Solanum lycopersicum: one gene and its partners. The protein of the gene in region 5 binds, or shares a complex with, the protein of the main gene of each other region. Links are inferred from orthologs where the notes say so. Each region holds a gene or a part of one and is shown on either strand. Other genes may lie near its edges.

Region 1 (4,070 bases), on a different chromosome or scaffold from region 5:
TTCATCTTTTATTATAGGCATTAGAAAAAGAACACTAAATGGACTTGTCAAAGAACTCTCAATGGAATGACTAACTATAAGCGGAGGAATGGAACTGGATAAGAATAAATGAACAGAAGCCAGATCCAAATTGCTATCTCCCTGATGCTTTTGCAGTCCTTATGTATAACTCCCCAAGAAGACATCAGGTGAATGCAACTTGCAGAGAACTACAAATTATGAACAAGGATAATTCTTGAAATCGAGCAGTTACATTGGTTGGTCAATTTTGGATGCACACTCTCTTAGCTTCTCTCTATGAAGATCTATTGATCTTTTCAGCAAACACCAATTGTGCATCGGAACCCACCTAAAACACTAGTTATACATTCAATCCATACTCATCTCAACCAACTGCAGTCTCTCCTACACCGACAACTCAGTAAAACGCACCCGCTCTCCTACAACCCCCAATGGTTAGTTTGAACCAATCCAGCCGAAAAATCCCAAACACACAATAATCAACTCCTTCTAGCACCAACAACCACAACACCAATAAACATCATCCCCTATTTCTTCCAATCCTTCAGAGGAACAACACATGGACAATAATAAACTCCTAAAGCTTGCCCCTAACAGTTCACCAGAACCTCCAACTTGCTATTAACACTCAGCCTACTCTTTTGCAGATCACGCATGCAACACCTCAACAGGAAAATACTACCCATTCAAAATCCACCCACCAAAATCATTTAACCCCTCAGCCAAAGGTGTCCTCAGATTTCACACACCCTCTTCAAAATTGAAATCGGATGACGCGACCAACATCAATGGAACTGATCATAACCCTGTTGCCACTGATAAATCAGAACCCCAATATTCAACTCCAACAGAAACATCCCAATTTAGCAGGGAAAGGTAAAAGGGTGCTACTTCATCGAAACCAACCTTCACAGAAAGGTTCAAGCTGATTTGCCAATGCCTCAATCGCCGAAGCTCCTGTTGAAATTAGGCATGAGACTCATCTCGGAAAGCCAACCATATATTTCTCTGCTGATGACTATTTCGTGAATTTGGCTAATAATTGCAAATGACTATTGTGGGTAAATTTATCAAAGGAACCTACTATGAAAGAACTAAGGAAAATTTTTGTGAGTCAATTTCAATTGAAAGGAAGAGTCGAGATTGGGTACTACAACTACAACACTATTTACATTGACTTTCTGTAACAAAACAGACTTCAATAACATTTTTTCAAGTCATTCATTCACATTGGGTCGGTCATACACTATGAAATCCTGAGATGTGCACAGAATTTTAAACCAGAGCAAGAAACTTCTATTGTTCCAGATTGGATACTAGTTCACAACTTACCTCAGCACCTATTCAGATGGGAAACTCAGTGCCGCCAGATATTGAAGTTGGGAATGGTAATGGTGAGAAGGTGAGATTGCAGATCATATGAATTTTCCCCCTACAGCTCCTGAAGCTAGGGAATGGGGAACAAGCAGAGATCAAACTACTTTGACAAGATCACAGAAAAACTAGTTGAGATGTATTTCACAGAACAAACTGCAAACTATTAAAATATTAGTGGGAGTTTGCAGCACATTCACGAATTTTGTTTGTTATATATTTTTTAATTGTAACGAATGGATTGTTATTTACTAGAAAGTGCAAGATATATAGCTTGAACAAGAAATACTCAATTTGAAATTAGCTCAAAGGAAACAGATTTGATAAAAATCTTGTCTGACTTCATTGGGTGAATAAAACCAAAAATACATTTGCTGATCTTCTTAACTCCCATCACCACATTATACAGATAAGTATTTGGCATTTCAATTCATGTTACTTCTATTAAAAGAATTAGCATACATAGTAAAAAGGACAATCTACAAAAAGCACAATGCGTAATGGATTAACTCTTCTGCATAAGCCAAATCCACTAAAATAAGATGACAAGATCTAGCTTTCTCAATCATTATTCTATAGTACATAATAATTTTCTTGTTTTCTTTATCAACTTCACTATGTACAAGATAGTAGTGTATTCATTCATATTGAAGGGCATTAGGAGAAAATTCTTGGCGTTTTTTTTTTGGTTGCATACTTTATGCATGCTCAAGCCTTGAAGCAAGGCTTACACATGTTGACCACTTCGCTTAATGTGCACTTCAGTGTCGTCATTAAGTCCCAAGACAAACTTTTCCTTGAAAATAAGGGTTCTAAACTATTGGTATCACACTTTATTATTATGAAAATCAATTTCTTTGTCCATAGATTTGTTATTCACCCTGTATATACTAATTCAACAAAACATCCAACAGGAAGTAATTCTATATCATACTACATATAATTGACACAACTGCAAAAACGAATGAATAGGTAATAAATAGTAGAATCAATTGAGGAGGTAGTCGGAGAGTACCTGAGAAGAGGAATTTCCAGATCTGACATAGAGAGAAGCATGAGCAGTAGCAGATTCATTCTCAAAATACTGCACATGAGAAGGCAGAGTACAAGGAAGTAGAGACTCTCCAAGACGATTCTCCACAGTCGATACAAGTTCCACCATTAACTCTCTATGCGGAACAGATGCATAAGGAAATTCCTTAAATTTCGATTCATGATGTTCCATGGAAGTTGATGACGACGAGCAACAGAAGCGTTTTCCGACGGAAAAAGAACGAGAGGAAGAAGAGGGGAGTGATTGTGTGAGAATTGAAGTGTGAAATTTGGCAGAGGAGAGTGGAACAGCCATAGCAGGAGGACTGTCATGTTCACTGCTATCTCTTTGCTTTTTGGGAAGCAAACGAACATCACGTGCTGTGGCCCATGTAATACGCTGTCGTTTGTATTTTTAAAAATCAGAATTTTGAATTAGGATTTAAAATACAAAAATTTGATTAAACATATCTTAAACATGGTTATTTTAATCAAATTTTTGTATTTTAAATCCTAATTCAAAATTCTGATTTTTAAAAATACAATATATATATATATATATACCAGTCATTTATTTCATATGTAAATAAAATTTATAATTTCTATCATGATTTTTTAAACGGTTTGTATCTCATATAATGATTGTTCTCGCAATATGAATTTATTTTGACTTTAAATTAATGCATTTCTTAATTTATCAATTATATCTATGAAAATTATTATATTTTATCAAATTTATAACTATAGTTTTAAAAAACTTGAATTGGTCCATAATATAAAAAGGAACTTTGCATATATTCACTCAAAAATAGCCTAATTATGCTTCATAGTTATAATTTGTTAATTACAATTCGTAGCTATATGTTATAGAGAAAGAGAGTGACGAGAGAGATTGAGAGAGGGATAAGAGATACGAGCGAGAGAGTGAGAGGTGAATTACACATGTATATCAGGTAGATAATTGTGTATTATACATATGTATTTCTATATATGGCAAGCGAGATTGAGAGAGGAGGGAGAGAGATGAGCGAGATTGAGAGATGGAGGAGAGAGGGTAGAAATGGGATAGAGGTAAATTGTGTATGTATATTGGTTAGATAATTGAATATTATTCATATAGGTTTTGTATATATGACAAGTAAGATTGGGAGAAGGAGGAGAGAAGCGAGCTAGGTTGTGAGAGGGAGGAGAGAGACGAGCAAGATTGGGAGAGAGAGGAGAGAATCAAGCGAGATCGGGAGAGGGAGGAGAGAGGCAAGTGAGAGAGGGCAATAATTTGTATATTCGCATCTCGTTTGTATAATTCGTGGGTACCTTTGTATAATTCCGTGTTTTTGCATGATTGAGCAATATTAAGTTTAAAATTATACAAATATGAAAAAAAACACCTCAAAATAACGAATTGATATAAATATACATTTATTGACTTTAAATAGTTACATTAAATAAATTATATTATAAAAAAAAAGTGCACGTTTATACAAACTTTTGAAAGCTATACACAAAAAGATTGAATATATAAAGTGACAAAACTGAGAAACCAAAGGAAATTATCTCATATGCAAATACAAATCATCGTATAGAAATATAAATCAAACAAAGAATTGTTAGTTGTGAATTATACGAATGTGGATAATTATACA
Region 2 (4,033 bases), on a different chromosome or scaffold from region 5:
TGAGAACGCATTCCAAGGAACTGCTACTCGTAGCAAGCACTGAAGTTTTTTAGTGAGTAATCAAATCATTCTTTCTCATAAAAGAACTTACATGCACCCCCTGTCACCCTCCACCCACCAGTCAAACTAAAGACGGAATAATTTTCAAACTTTACCAAGTTCCTTTGGACAATAACCAAAAAAAAAAAAAAATTGTATAGAATTGGGGAAAAAAGTTTGACCTGTCACGAGATTACGTTGTACCTGTAAACTATGCTAAGCTGTATGAAATTATTAAACAGAAGGTAGAAAAAACAAAGAAAAGAGAAAAGAGAAGAGGACAGATGTACACCATAGCGAAGACTTTGATGGAGGTCTATGAATGTTTTCCCATCGCCCTATGAGGAGTCTGATTAGAGTCCGACCATACTGTGTTTCAGTATAACATTATCAACCCCATAAATTTCAGTATGTCGAGATTATGTTAACAACTAGAGAAATCATTCTTATGAAGATCCACTATACGTGTCTTGTACCTTGTGTAATTTATAGCTCTATAATAATGCCTAAAACTTCATTTATTCCATATCTTGTCAACATTCAAAGCAGCATACCTTTTACCCAAGAGAGTGAAACAGAAATATAAAATTCAAACATGCTTGTCAAAAGAACTAGTTGGGGTCGGAGGCGAGGACCAGTGAACCCATCAAGTTCTAGTATGCAACTTTTCCTAATAACAAAGTGTTAAAAACTCTCATGCTCCCAACAGAAGGGATTTTAATGGAAGTGGAGTGACCAAAGAAAGATGAATTCAATTGCACACGAGCTAATAGTGGATTACACGGTCTCAGAGAACATGAACCAGTACTCTCTCTGAGCATCTTTCTAGCTTGCAAACTTTTCTTATGACTTCCACAACACACTGCAATATCACAGCCAAGTCTTGTTTCACTGCATACACTGTACATATTCATAAGATGTAAATCCATATGGATGAGATAGCTTTTCAAAGGACACAAAAGACAAAACAAAATTCACAGGGAAAATCTGCATGTGACAATGAAAGCATGCAATAATCAAACTCCAGTAGGTCATTTATGACAAACTTAAGGAACAAAAACTAGGCATAAACAATAAGAACTGCAACTAAAAGCAACAGTATCTACATGTACTAAAGTAGAGAAAGACTCACTTCAACTCTAGACATGCCATCCCCCAAGAAAGCACATGCATTATTCACATGAGCAATGTAGTAAGTGTCACACAAACCACAGTGGCTGCAAACCAGAAACAAAAACTACCATCAGACAAAAAACTACTATAATGATTACGAAATAGTCACAAAATATACAAGAAATTAATTTAAATAAGTATGAAGATGAGTGATTAAATGATACTAACTTATAATCCTCAAAAACATTGAATTAGTATATAAATAATGTTAATTATTATTTACCAATTTCAAAAAAAATGCTAATTAATATATATGATATTCTTGTGAACGTCAAAACTTATATTTCAGTCTTCCAAACAATACTTCATCATTCAAGCTCCTTTTTTTTCCATTCTACAAAATTTGACCCAACTTAGGACGAATTGATATGGAAAGCTACGATGCTTCAAAGACCCAATGAAATGCTTCCTCCATTTCAAATTGAATACTTCAGGTTCTTTTTTATACTTCATGCCAAATTAATGCCCAATCTCCCTCATATTTATAGTTCTTTCACATTTACTATGAAAATTGAACCATTATAGTTTCCGAAAAGGGAGAACTCTTCAAACACATATTAGTTTAAGACACTCTCTCCGTCCGGTATTGTTTGTCATGGTGTCTATTCATAGAGTCAAACTATAAAAACTTTGACTAACATTTTAAGGTGTATTTTTTCATCGTATTAATATGCAAAAAATTGCAATTTATAGTACTTTTCATATAGTTTTAAAATATCTAATTATTTTGTTTAAAATATCGAATTAATGTGATTTAATTTAACTTTGAAAATTAGTCAAATTGACTTTCAAAAAACACAACATGACAAACAATATTGGACGGAGAGGGAGTGATTCATAAATAGACACCTTAACTTTGCTTAACTAACAACTAAATACTCCAACTTTAAGAATGCACATCTAGACGGTCTCCGAGACACCCGGCACTATATGTCTAGATGATCATTTTGTACGTTGGGAGTGTTTAACTCACACAGCCAAGACCAGTTAAGATGCACACTTTGAGTGTTCAGTTGCCAATTGAGCCCAACCTAAGATATCTATCTATGTATTTATGTCATAGTTTAAAGATAACAAATAAAAATAACAACTTTTTCACTAGTCTAACTTACAAAAACTAAAAACTTCAAAAAAAAAATACATAGAAAAATGATCAAGCTACGCAATTTACCTCCCATTACAGCATTAAAAGCTAAAATTTCAATTATATTAAGAAAAAAAAAAGCAGAATTATGAACCTGCAGTGGTCTTTAGCTGGATAAGTCCCACCAGGAGGAATAGGTCGAGATTTTTTCCTCCAATCTTCTCTAATTTTCACTGATTTCAGGTTTTGGTTTGCATCTGTTGAGTAATTCAAACAACATCAACACACAAAGTTTCAATTTTTTTTAAAAAAAAAACTCATAGCAAAAGTTTGTCATTTTTTGTAAAAAAAAGTTCCTCTAAGAGGATTTTGTTCAGTGAATGTAGAAATGGAGAGAAACAAAACCTTGTTGTTGTGAAGAAGATGAAACAGTGTAAAATTTGAAGGGTAAAGTAGAGATTTTTCCAGTAAGAAACGCCATTGTTGCTCTGTGTATCTGCACAAGTGTTTTGCGCCACAAATATATATCAAATGAGATTCTTTTAAGGGTGGAACCAAAACGGTGTCGTCCGGTATTTAATTAATTTCTACTTTTTATTTTTTTGGATGAGTAAAAAAAGTGAAATATTAAATATTTAGAAAATTAAGAAATAATTTTAATTATTTATAAACAATGAATCGCTGAAAGTGATTCGAACGAATCCTTTTGGTCCTACCTAGCTTTGCTCCTGAATAAGTACTCGATAACATATTGTGTTGAAATTTTGATGAGATAAACAACACATACCATATCATTTCACTGAAGTAAAATCATATAGTCGTTCATATGAATACTCAAAATAGGGTGGCTTTTAATTTTTGTTCGTCGGATCAATAGTCTTTGAAAATACAATCGTAAGGCATATGTTATGTCATACAAAACTTATGCCTCTGTAGACATAAGTTCAATTTCAAAACATTATACCTTAAAAAGTTCATAAAGTCACAAATTATATCTTATAAGGTATAGACGTAAGTCCTACATAACATGTCGATGGGAGTATAAGTTCCATTTTCAAAACTTGGAAGATTAAACCTAGAGAAGTTCATTACTCGCTATATCTTATAAATCATAAGTCCCGTTTACAAAACCAGCAAAATTGAGAAGTTCATGAGTCACTATATCGGAAAAAAAGTGGTGGTTTAATTGGAGCAGCCCATCAGGCATTAATGGAACTTGGAAGGCACCGATAACGATATAAATCATAAGTCCCGTTTACAAAACCAGCAAAATTGAGAAGTTCATGAGTCACTATATCGGAAAAAAAGTGGTGGTTTAATTGGAGCAGCCCATCAGGCATTAATGGAACTTGGAAGGCACCGGTCCGTTATCCTTCCACTGCACAAAGCGGAAGTTTTTCGTTGCTCTGTGAAACCAGCCTCACGCGGTCCACCCCACTTTAGGAATCTAGTAGCCCATTCTTTCAATTGGACCACATGATCCAACTCTGTGCTTGGATAGGGCAGGCCAGAAATTAGCCCACCAAGCCCAGCCATCTGGGACAGCCCAATATTCCACCACCTTAACATCCCCACTTGGGTTACAAGCCCACGTTACTAAGCTCGACATACAATATTGCATCATAGATTATTATAAAAATAAAAAGAAATATGTCCACTAACGATGTGGGAATTGGAATATTGCTTGTTCTCTATAAACAAAGCATATACTATTTTGAAAATATAAAGTTTGATTTT
Region 3 (4,278 bases), on a different chromosome or scaffold from region 5:
AGAACAGTAAAGATGATAACACCGAAATCAATATCCATTAGAAAAGTATTAGATGAATAAATGGTAAAGATCTGCTATTTACAATAGATAACCTAGCATTCCAAGTTACAACCACAACAATCAACTTACACAGCTGTTAGAGGGGTGCTAGATCCTCCAGAACCTGCACCATCCATATTAAAGACATGTCCACCTTCGCTTTGGGTTTTCATGATTTGGATGGCTTCTTTAGTGCATAGTATAGAACCAATCAGGTTTGTTGAGACAATCTGTATAAAAAAATTTGGTAAGCAACAGACCAGAAATACTTACTAGAATATTAGCTTACCCATCATGCAAGTACACACAGCAGATAGTTGATTATTATATGCACATGGAGTGTTAACTTGAAAAGGTCAACAAGCATGAACACCTTGCTATGCATGACGAAACGGGGAAATTTTCAAGTAGTAGTTAAAAGAAGGCATTAGTACATATTGATGGATAATTCCAGGAAAACGGAAAGTTAAAATGAGTGACCTGGTATATAAAGTATACAAACTACATATAGGTGTTGGGGGGACGGGGAAAATAATTTGTTAACAAAGTTCTGCAACTGAACAGTTAGAAAACCCACAGTGCATACACCACCCACCCTTCCACAAGAGAGGGGGGAAAACAACAAAAGCAGCTCTTACTTGACAATTTAATATACCCCACCCTAATACCGACCCACCCCCGATCCATCTTCTATTATATATGCAGCCTTGAAAGCAATTATTTTGCAAGAGTTTAGAAATGGAAGAAGTTGTAGAGTATCAACATAAACATATGAGAACTGTCAACAACATGGATACCTCTTGAATATCATTGTCGGTGAACTCCAGCAAGGGTCGAAAGCCTTTGTTTGTCCCAGCATTGTTTACCTATATAAAAGACAACCTTTAGAAGCATGAAAACAGAACAACAAACCAGGAAAGAGGCTGTTTTTCCTCACAAGTCCTCTGGATGTGGATGACTGTATTTTCTACTCACAACCCTGTAGTTCTTGTCATATGTTGTGTATTGTATTTTGATTATCCTACTGTTATTGTTTTTCTCTTGACACTTCCAATATTTTCTCTCCTTTTACTTGGGTTTAATGCTCTTGAGTCTAGGGTCTTCTCGAGACAGTCTCTCTACCTCCTCGAGGTAGTGGTAAAGTCCAAGTCTGTGTACACTCACTCTACCCTCCCAAACCCCACTTTGTAGGATTTGACGGGGTATATTGTTGTTGTGGTGGTCTTTTGCTATGAAGAAAAAGAAAATTACTCACCCAAATGTCAATATAACCAAGTTCATCTGCAGCAAACTTGCCCAGTTCTTTAACATCAACAGGTTCAGAGACGTCACAAGCCATACCAACCAGTTTTGCATGTGCCAACTTTAGTCTAGCAGAGCCGGTGGCAGCATTGACAGCTTCCTTCAGATTTTCCTCAAGCTCCTCGATAGTCAAACGGACAGATGCCGGGCTGTGTTAAGGAATGATGTATTTACAAGAGATGCTAAACAAAATAAGTGGATGCAAATAATCAATTAATTACCTGCGGGAGGTAACAATGACCCGATCTCCAGAAAGTAAGAATTCGCGGGCAAGAGCTTTCCCTAGTCCCCTTGTACTGCACCAAAAAATAATTAAAATGGTAATTACAAACAATGAAGGTATGAGTAAAGTATTATACCTTCCAGTTATAAGGACATTACGGGGGCCAGCTCGAGCAACATCATCCAAAACTAAATTGGATCCTATCATAGTGCCGATAATAATTCCTCCAAGCCAGCTGTACCATATCAATTCATTCATCTGGCTATCTCCACCTGTAACAATTAGAATTAGTTGTTACCAATCAATCCATGCCTTAAAAACTTTCAAAAGATGATAAATGAATTTGCTAACCTGACAACTGAAACCCAACGAACATGACAACACCTGTGCTCATCATTGTTATAATATATCTTCCAACATATAAAGCCAACTGCAAGATTGGAATACAAATTTAACTTTTTCCCATTCTCAATTGATGTTAAAGATGTGTAAGAAACATATGTACCCAGAATAATCTCTCTTCCAACATCTCCATAGCTTCTCTAAGCTTATTTTCAGTTCTCAAACTTGGCTTTGAACAACTCCATACAGCAGACCTAATAGCTCCAACCAACTTGTTCACCTTCACATACTCAGCATCATCAGACTTAAAGCTCCTGCAAGGTTGTACAAAAACTCTACGTCGTCCATGAACCTTCACAATCGAAGGCCGGAAAACATTACTGCTCGGTAGTAGGTGGTGCGTTGACACGTGTACCTTCGCCACCATGTCCATTTATTATTTTAATAAAAATAAAAAAGAAAAATGGTGCACTTTTTGTTTTGTTTTACAAAGATCTATATGAATTTTATATATATGCAAGGAAAGAGATATAAATATCCAAATTTTTAGGGATTTGGATTGTGTGACTTGAAATTTTCTCGGATCTAGTCTACTACAAAAAGAAAATATCTAAGGAGTTGGAAGGAATTTGATTTTTGAAAGATCAAAGGGAAACCAAGTTGATGACCACACGTTAAAGCTACTCTTTATCTACACGTTTCATCTGCTACGTGTCATTGTAGGTCCGCATATATATTACCGTCAACATTATCTCCTTCTCCCACTTGTGTTTCAAAAATAATCAAAACTTCAATTCTAATGTGTTTAACAAAAATCAAATACGCAAGTGAATTGTCTATTTGAGTTTATTCATGAATTCTGTATGTATATTTCTAAGATAATATGATCCATTGTGGTAGCTATGTACCTACTTGTTTGGGCATTTAACATTATCACATTTTGAGTGATTTTTCAACACTGTTTGGTTATGGTATAACTTGTCTCTTGTTCATGTATAAAATAATGTATTAAGTTATGCAATATTTAGTAGAAATTCTTGTTTAGGTAGAAAAGTCAACATAACTTATATCATGTTTGGTTGCATTTTTGTAGTTTTATATAATTTATATCAACATAACTTATGAGGGAATCTATGTATAAAGTTATGTAAGGTAGAAAGTAAAATAAGTTATGCGGGTATTATTTATACATGTATTAAAGTGACAAATTACATATTTACCCTATTAATTTATTTTATTGTTTATAATTAGAAATTTTATTGTATTCCTATATTGTTATTGTAACTACCCGCTAGGTCGTTTTGAGAAGTAGGACTAGTTTGGCTCCTTTTGAAAATTTAAAGGGTTATTTTTAAGCTTTTAGATAACTATGAGTACCTAATTGATGAAACTTTTATTAAATAAATAATTAGATAATAGATTAGTGGAGTTTCACGATTAATAATTTCTTATTTAGAAGAAAAGAAAAAACGAAAAGTAAGGAGGCGAAACCTTATCACAGGCTACCAGCGAGAGGGAGAAAATCACAGCCATTGTTCAGGTAAAGATATGAGATATTCGTTCTTTTCAATTCTATATATAGTAATATATTGTCGGAGTGTTTGGGATTGTATTATTATTCTATGCTATATTGATAATGGGAGAATTGGTGGAGATGTGGAAAAAAAAACCAATCTTCTGCCAATGGAGGCATTCGCGATGTGTATGTTGTTAGCACTGCTCACGTTTCTTCGGAATCCTGCCAAGAAGTTAAGGCAGTGATCAATTTCTTGAAACCAGAGGTTGTCTTCTTGGAGTTATGCTCAGGTCGGGTGGGTATACTCACACCTCAGAATTTAAAGGTACCAACAATGGGGGAATGCTTTAATTGGCATGCAGAACAAATAGCACAAAAAAACGGGAAAAGGGGAGGGGCGTTCCACTTCTGCCAATGGGTGGAAATTTTGTTCACGTGTATTCATATATTAAAATGCTAGTTTTTAATATATTGGGACTGGTAATTAATTATTAGGTGTTATTTTATATGATCTAACATTGAGTTTTAGTCCATTTGAAGAGGTTAGAGTTAAGTTCTTGGCTTGAAATTTAGCAAGTGTGAAAAAAAATTGGCATACCAATATATATCAAGATTTGGAGTTTGTTGAAAATATGTGTGAGTTTTAGCGTCTATGATAGACATATAATAATTTGAATGTCTACAAAAAAATTGCTTACTTACGAATATTGAAAAATTGGTAGATTGGGAACGTTCCGAAACCTTGCGAAAAGGAAAGGAAAAATCTTAAAAGATTCGTGGCACAAGCTCGGCATCTAAGGTATGTTAAGACTTTTTAGACTTGTTGAAGGACGTTTTCCTAATTAAAGATTAAAAA
Region 4 (3,513 bases), on a different chromosome or scaffold from region 5:
AAGCAAGACTCACGGAGATCACATGGAAGCAGTATCAAGTACTAATCAAGACCCAGTGAAATTACAGAAGTGGCAAAAGAGATATTTGGAAGATTAGTAAAAATAATACAACAGCAGCCTCTTGGATGAGTTGTCCCTTATTGTTGGAAAGGAAATCAATTTCCCTTATCAAGGATCAAATCCTTAGGGTTGCCCTCTCTGCTAATGAAACAACAGTCCTCATATAATCAATCATTGAAGACCAAAGACTAACATACGTTTGTATAAAGCCTCCTCAAAGTGCATTGTTCTACTCTTAACAAGCATTGTAATTCTTAAATGGTTTACTGTGTAATCAAAACAGAGAAGAGAGGAAAAATATAGTTGGTGAGGCATTGTGTCAAGAGAAAAAAAGATCGAGTGTAGACGTAGGATTAAACCTTGAGGGACTTGTACTCATCAACTATTCAAAGTACTTGCATAGAAAATCCCTTGCAACCCAAGGGGACTGGACTAAAATCCACATTGGATCCCAACCGGTATAAAAATACCCAGTGTCATTTACTTATTGTTTTATAACTTGCGTCATCATTTAATTGCCAGTCATTACAGTTGAAGCTTTATTTTAAGAGGGAACCTCTCAGACAAGGCCTCCCTACTCCAATGGGAAGTACTTCTCACACTAGAAGGTCAGAATGGGAACCTACATCAAGTCATATGGTGTAATGGTCTGGAGGGTGATCAAATTGGGAGACATTCCCATACCTACAACTAAGAGTGATGATAAGGAATCTGGAAGCAAGGAAAAAACAACAGAAATTGAAGGAGCAATTGATCTATCAAAATTGGTGGACAAAAATAATACATGACTGGAAATTATTCAGGTATAATCTTAAGAAAATATTTACTATATAATGCAATCAGTGGTGAAGAATATCAAAAGATCACAAGTGGTGAAACTGCTAAAGAAATATGGGATAAGCTAGAAGTGACCTATGAAGGAAATGGCAAGTCAAGCAGACTATAGTCAGCCTTCTACTTTATGAGTATTATTCCAAATAAATGAAGGAGAGACTAATGAGGAATGTTCTCCCGACTGAGTAAACTCATTGGGGAACTAAAAGCCTATGGAAAAACCTATCCTACTTGTTAAATTAGGCCTTGGACCTAGCCCTCACCCCAAAAGCTAGCTTAAAGGGAGGAGAAGGATTGTCTAAGCATTATAAGGAGTACACAAATCTCATTAACCACCATATAAAACTTTTTTCATCTTTAACACTCACCTCATGCCCAGTGCTTAACATCTGGTGCGTGGGCAACTTTTAATTTTAGAGGCTCAACATAGGGTGAGATGGGTCTTGCTCTGATACCAAGTTAAATTAGATGTTGGGTCCTACCTCACAACCCAAAAGCTAGCTCAAACGGAGGACGATTACTCAAACCTTATCAAGAGTACACCCTTCTCATTAAGCACCAATGTGTAACTTTTGACATTCTTTAACACTACTATTAATCACATAAGGATTAAGGAAGGTACGCAGAAGCCTACCTCCTCAACGACATGCCAAAGATGTTGCTTTGGGAAGCATTAACCTCAAACAATACCCCTTGTGATGAACTAAGAGGAGATTTGATAATTGAATGACTTTGTTGTCCCAAAAGAATAAGTAACTTTCGTAGGTCATTTCCATAAGTTGGGTGAGGAATTAACTCTAATATTTATTATGACTTTGCAGCAGTTCAAACAACTAAATTTATGGATTAAGTACCAACAATAATTCTTGAACAAGCAGTGACATGAAAGGATAAAAAGAGAACATTTACAATCAAATCAGAAAGGGAACTGGACTTCTGATACAAAGAACATTGAGAGTGTTTGTGACCTTATCATCTTAAGCAAATTAAGGATCCAGATTAGATACCCATATGTCGATGTATTGAAGCTTTTCCTTCGCAAAGGCAACTAAGTTCTTCACGTCATCTCCCTCTCTAACATCACACTTGGTGCCCTGCATAGGGATCTGAATCAAGCATGTGAAGACAAAAATAATGCTTAAGCTAATCATGTAAAAGAAAGGCCATAACACCTGCAAGGGCCAGTAAGTATATTTACAGACCCTTGGTTTACTTTAAAGACATAATAATATATAATTCTAAACTACATATTAGGCAGAATATGGCACATCTTCAGCTTACCAAGGACATGACTTTAGATAGGAGGATATGGAGATCATGGATAGACGGTATGTAGGTATAGCTGGGAGTTGTCTTATTACTAGCCCATTCATGTATTTTTCTGGGTGGAAGTGTAGAGCTCCGTGCTGGTCGTAGTATTAGCATATTCATTAAGTCTTCGGTTTTTGGTATCCGAGATCATCTGTGGTTTACTGTGTTTAGGTAACTGCAGCTTGTTATTATTATGGCTCCTTGCATTGATATGCTCCAACTGCTTTGATATTAACTGTCAGTTTTTTTTTATAGTTAGTGTTTTATTTGCTTGAACCAAAGGTCTTACAGAAACAGTCTCTACCATGGAGAGTTAGTGGTAAGGCCTGCGTACACTCTACCCTCCCCAAACCCCACTTCTGGTATTTCACTGAGTTTGTTGTTGTTGTTGGTTTTTACTTTACAACCTTCCTTTCAATAGAACATGATTCAGGAAATCAAAAGTTCAAGTCAATCGGTAGGCATGAAGCCCAAAGTTATGTTAGTCATTAGCGAAATAAAATACTCATCAATCACCATAGAACCTGATTGAAGACGAAACTAGTGATGAGTACACAGAAAGAATCAAAGAATGACTAAAGGTCTATAAGAAATGAAGTGAAAATGGAGGTACCCACACATGCTGCTTCCCTGTTTCAACTCTTAACCTGTCGAGAGCAGATACAACTCTTTCATCTGTCAAAAAAAATGGTCAACTCTAAAGATGTAATTACATTTAATTCTAAACTACATATTCCAAAGAAAGTTGTTTCTTTTCCATTCAAGTGTAGGGAGATGAAGAGCTAACATAAAGAGAGTGTGAGCTTTAAAGCAATAAAATAAAAAAGAGAATGAGAATACATCCCCATGAGTTACAAGATAACGAATGGAAAAGAGAAAATATCACTGTATCAAGGTACCATGCAAAATCATCAGTCTTATGTTATTGCAATTATGGTTAGTTCAGGACCCGGATAAGACTCATCAAGGTAGGAGAGCAGCAATTATTGATATATGACTCCATAGAGATCAAACTAGATCATGAATATGCCATCCCTCCCAATCTTCCATTCAAACTTCAGCAGATCTCCTCCTTTCCTTTGTTTTCTAACTTCAGCAAACTCTGCTCCTTTCAACCCATATTATCTCCAATTAAGTAGCAAGATTCCCATTATCTCTATTCTAATAAACTGCATCCATTGCTTTCACTACTTCCTTAATTTGCATGTATGGCACTTAATGTCTCTAGAGATCACTAACCCAATGCCTGCAACTTTTTTTTTCTTCCCACAAGCTGTAGCTTCTTAGCTTTCGTTCCAAAAGTGACCA
Region 5 (3,996 bases):
AATTAAACAAAAATATAACAAAGTTCAATGTGTGGTAAAATAATATTGCCAAACAAGTATATACTCAAAAAATATAAATCAAACAAATGAGTAACATAGTTCATTGTGTGGTTTGATGATTTTTATCACATATACATAAAAGTTGCTAGATGCAATTTTTATTTTGAAAAAAAAAAAACACAAAAATGTAGTGACTAGAATTAAACTTGGGACACAGTTGCTAGCGAAGGAGTGGTGTGAGACAAGAATTTAACCACCATGCTAGATTAGCTTTTGTGTATAAGGATGCACAAATTAATATATTATCGTCATTTAGATATTATACATGTGTACCTTTATAGGAATTGAATGAAAAAATCATCGATCATTATAAAATAAAACTCATAAAACATGTTTTTTTATTTTTCAAAAGACATTTTTTAAAATACTCACCTAATAGAGTCGTGAACACCCTGGAATGAGTAATAACCATATAAATAACATGTAACGCCAAAAAGTTTGAAAAAATTGACCAGAGGTGGCCCTATTGAGTACACCTCAATTTTTTAGTACAAATTACTATAGTAATGTGCGAATGATTTTTTATGATAATTTTTTTAAAATACTTTTTTATACATAAAAAATATCTTTATAATAATGATAAGTTAAAGTAGGCATTTGGCCATATGATATCATAGTATTGTGAGATGAAATCAGCATTTAGACATGCGATTTTACATTAATTCTATTTCATGATTTCATATTCTCTAGAAATCATAATATGGAATCATATGGGAATATCATATCATAATTTGAGATATTTAATACAAAAATTAATCCACACGTTTATATTTTGTTAAAACAATGCTACATTTATATCTACTAACTATTTATTTTACATGTAAATAAAATTATAGTTACATCATTACATTTTAAAATTTATTGTTCACACCAACATATAGTCACTTTAGGTCACACTTCACGATCATTGAGTAATAAAATCTTGAAGAACCCGTGAAAAGTGCTTCATTTTTAGATTGAAACATTACTTAAGTGGAGAACAAATAATTTTATAATAATTTATTATGCAATTTTATAATTTTTTATTTAATTTGATAAGATTGAATAAACAATTGAAGCAATTTTAATAGTTTTAGAAAACTTATGAGATTTTTACGATTACGTAAGAATATACAATATCAAAATTTCATCTCGAATATCTAAACAAAACTTTAATTGCATCTCATAATTTCATATCATGATACTATATCGCATGACCAGACCGCCCAAATCTACCATTTTGTTAAATATCGTCATTTGTTTTATTTTTTCTTGGTTTCTAAATAGATCCCACTTTTTTAAGCAATCTCTTGTCTGGACTCTAGATTTATGTAGAAATATATAACTAACTGAATGTTAAAAAGAATAAGAAAAAGCAATTCTAAAATCCCATATCACTTCTCCTAAGCTCTTGGAGATTTTGCTCATAATTATCTTAGAAAACTGATTAAAGGTTAGTTGGCTTTCAATTTTTTCTTTCTAGTTTGTTATGGAATTGTGAAATAATGGTCTTTTAGGTTATTGATTTTTAGCTTTTATTGGATGTTTAAGTTGTAGAATTTTCAAGTAAGGTTCAATATTTGCTCAATTTTTTCGTTTTCCAGATAAGGTTGATCTATTGACAGATTCAGGATTTGAAGTTTGTAGTTTGGGATTTAGATCTTTTGAGTTACTGAATTCTAAATTAATAACTGTACATATTAAATGGATTTTTGTAATGAAAAAAAAAAAATTGAGTTTGAACCAGAGTTATTGGGTTCAATAAATGTGTTCACATCATGAAAAAAAATGAAGGTTGAATTTTTTTGTTGTTGTAGAAGAATATGATGTTAGTTGATTTATCTTATTAGCCAAGTAATAATAATTAGATGTGAAGAAGTAAATTACTATATTGTTGTTGAGTTGATTGCATTACTTTCCTGTATTTTATTAGTATTTGATAACAACCTAAATGCTTTGTTTTCAATGTATTCTTGATTTCAGGTATTCATTTTAGATTTTAGAAAGCTGACTCTGGGATGGAATTTTGTTCTTTCTATTCGACACCCTATTACTGCGTTGTAAATGTTAAACCGAATGTGATTCAAAAATGCCTAATTTCAAATCAGACAATGTTTTCTAGACTAAAAGAAAGAAGATTGTGTTCTGGTTTAGATGTTTATAGCGTAGAGAAAAATAGGAAGCGGAGATCTTGCACTGTCGCTTCTGTTAAGGGGGTTGACAGTGTTGTTGACTCAAGTCTCTTGAATGAAAGCTATAACACAGATGTCGTGGATGGGAAAGTCGGTACAGAAGGTGTGACTAGTAGAGGTAAATCAGTACCAAAGGTTATGATTCCTAGTTTACCAAGTGAAGCTAAAGGCGATGCTGTTGCTGTGATTGATAGCTGTTTGTGGGAATGGAAGCCAAAACTGAATGTTCATTATGAGAAATCTGGATGTCAAAATGTTAACTCCGCGCCAATACTTTTTCTTCCTGGTTTTGGTGTTGGTTCCTTTCACTATGAAAAACAGCTAAAGGATCTTGGTCGTGATAACAGAATATGGGCATTGGATTTTATTGGACAGGGAAAGTCATTACCTAGTGAGGATCCAACTTCGCGGTCAAAAAGATTAAATGAATCGGAAGGTGATGGAAACAATGTTCTCTGGGGTTTGGGGGATGAAGTAGAACCTTGGGCAAAAGAACTTGTCTATTCTATTGACTTATGGAGGGAGCAAGTACGCTATTTCATCGAAGAGGTACAATTTCTATCTTTGTCCTTGTGTTTTTTCCCTCAAAATTGGTTGATCTGTAGATTAAGCATTGTCATTGATGTATTGCTAGTTTTTTAAATTCATGTTCGTTCAATACACTGGCTCGTAATGAATGCTAGAAGATGAAACTAAAAATATTCATACAAGGCTTATGAGTACATTACAGTTGCAGTCCTGACAATTTGCTATAGTATGCCAGAATAATGTTCCTTTGGCACTACTTGTTTATTTTTGTTCGATTTAGGCTATGGAACGATGGGCTTCTCAATAAGTTTCCAAATTGTTGATTGGTTACTAGGAACAAACTATAAACTTGTATCCTTTGGTGATGCAGGTTATTAAGGAACCAGTCTACATTGTGGGAAATTCACTTGGTGGATATGTTGCCCTCTACTTTGCTGCATACTACCCTCAATTAGTGAAAGGTGTAACCTTGCTGAATGCTACGCCTTTTTGGGGATTTCTTCCTAATCCTGTTAGATCTCCGAGATTATCTAGATTATTTCCATGGGCTGGTACTTTTCCTCTGCCCTCCAATATCAGAAAGCTCACAGAACTTGTGTAAGTGCCCTGACTTTCTGTTTTGATTATTTAGTTTCCTGATCCTATAAACTTATATACCGAGTAATAGGATCTTCTTGCCAGCTATACATTTTATATTGGTTAGCATCAAGACGATGACCAAATGATGTGTTGTTACATTTTGCAACTTATGCTGAAAAAATGAATCGTTCTTGGATAATTTGATGTTCTTTCATCATATAATAGAGGGACATTATGGATTGTATCCTTGTTTTTGGGTTTTGTCTGGTTCTCAAACTTATCCGTCTGTACGCTTCATTATGCTTCTGTAGATGGCAGAAAATTAGTGCTCCCGAGAGTATCGCAGAGGTGCTTAAACAAGTTTACGCTGATCATACCACAAAAGTAGATAAAGTTTTCTCTAGTATTCTTGAGGTAACAGAACACCCTGCAGCAGCTGCATCCCTTGCTTCAATAATGTTCGCTCCTCAGGGACAACTAAATTTTAAAGAGGCACTGACTGGGTAGGTAAAGCAAGTAGTATTACATAGCCGTGTCATTTGGCTTGCATATGTTTTCTTATACAGTAACAAAGCTGAAATCTTTCACCTTGCTATATCTAGGTGTCGAATGAACAATGTACCGGTCTGTCTCATTTACGGGAAAGAAGACCCCTGGG

Evidence for each region.
Region 1: pheophytinase, chloroplastic (region 5) and red chlorophyll catabolite reductase, chloroplastic share a complex: the UniProt entries of both Arabidopsis thaliana proteins name them as parts of the SGR1-CCE-LHCII complex. The link is inferred for Solanum lycopersicum from reciprocal best matches to the Arabidopsis thaliana genes PPH and ACD2.
Region 2: pheophytinase, chloroplastic (region 5) and coenzyme F420 hydrogenase_dehydrogenase beta subunit-like share a complex: the UniProt entries of both Arabidopsis thaliana proteins name them as parts of the SGR1-CCE-LHCII complex. The link is inferred for Solanum lycopersicum from reciprocal best matches to the Arabidopsis thaliana genes PPH and HCAR.
Region 3: pheophytinase, chloroplastic (region 5) and probable chlorophyll(ide) b reductase NYC1, chloroplastic share a complex: the UniProt entries of both Arabidopsis thaliana proteins name them as parts of the SGR1-CCE-LHCII complex. The link is inferred for Solanum lycopersicum from reciprocal best matches to the Arabidopsis thaliana genes PPH and NYC1.
Region 4: pheophytinase, chloroplastic (region 5) and chlorophyll(ide) b reductase NOL, chloroplastic share a complex: the UniProt entries of both Arabidopsis thaliana proteins name them as parts of the SGR1-CCE-LHCII complex. The link is inferred for Solanum lycopersicum from reciprocal best matches to the Arabidopsis thaliana genes PPH and NOL.

Annotation. Positions count from the first base shown.
Region 1 is NC_090802.1:10,423,463-10,427,532, reverse strand, and holds the start of red chlorophyll catabolite reductase, chloroplastic, read right to left. Parts: upstream 2,811-4,070; 5' UTR 2,744-2,810; coding exon 2,411-2,743; intron 1-2,410. UniProt on the Arabidopsis thaliana protein: Catalyzes the key reaction of chlorophyll catabolism, porphyrin macrocycle cleavage of pheophorbide a (pheide a) to a primary fluorescent catabolite (pFCC).
Region 2 is NC_090808.1:67,936,190-67,940,222, forward strand, and holds the start of coenzyme F420 hydrogenase_dehydrogenase beta subunit-like, read right to left. Parts: upstream 2,801-4,033; 5' UTR 2,778-2,800; coding exon 2,702-2,777; intron 2,554-2,701; coding exon 2,451-2,553; intron 1,257-2,450; coding exon 1,172-1,256; intron 940-1,171; exon of another isoform or gene 821-939; intron 1-820. UniProt on the Arabidopsis thaliana protein: Probable iron-sulfur flavoprotein that converts 7-hydroxymethyl chlorophyll a to chlorophyll a using ferredoxin as a reducing equivalent. Catalyzes the reduction of a hydroxymethyl group to a methyl group. Belongs to the chlorophyll catabolic enzymes (CCEs).
Region 3 is NC_090806.1:26,308,411-26,312,688, reverse strand, and holds the start of probable chlorophyll(ide) b reductase NYC1, chloroplastic, read right to left. Parts: upstream 2,805-4,278; 5' UTR 2,340-2,804; coding exon 2,070-2,339; intron 1,995-2,069; coding exon 1,916-1,994; intron 1,837-1,915; coding exon 1,701-1,836; intron 1,638-1,700; coding exon 1,563-1,637; intron 1,491-1,562; coding exon 1,295-1,490; intron 906-1,294; coding exon 837-905; intron 270-836; coding exon 130-269; intron 1-129. UniProt on the Arabidopsis thaliana protein: Involved in chlorophyll b degradation. Belongs to the chlorophyll catabolic enzymes (CCEs).
Region 4 is NC_090804.1:48,920,176-48,923,688, reverse strand, and holds part of chlorophyll(ide) b reductase NOL, chloroplastic, read right to left. Parts: intron 2,881-3,513; coding exon 2,819-2,880; intron 2,001-2,818; coding exon 1,902-2,000; intron 1-1,901. UniProt on the Arabidopsis thaliana protein: Required for chlorophyll b degradation. Chlorophyll b, chlorophyllide b, pheophorbide b and pheophytin b can be used as substrates. Belongs to the chlorophyll catabolic enzymes (CCEs).
Region 5 is NC_090800.1:78,700,348-78,704,343, reverse strand, and holds the start of pheophytinase, chloroplastic, read left to right. Parts: upstream 1-1,195; 5' UTR 1,196-1,492; intron 1,493-2,022; 5' UTR 2,023-2,057; coding exon 2,058-2,780; intron 2,781-3,129; coding exon 3,130-3,356; intron 3,357-3,649; coding exon 3,650-3,841; intron 3,842-3,940; coding exon 3,941-3,996. UniProt on the Arabidopsis thaliana protein: Alpha/beta hydrolase dephytylating specifically the Mg-free chlorophyll pigment (pheophytin), yielding pheophorbide. No activity on chlorophyll. Belongs to the chlorophyll catabolic enzymes (CCEs).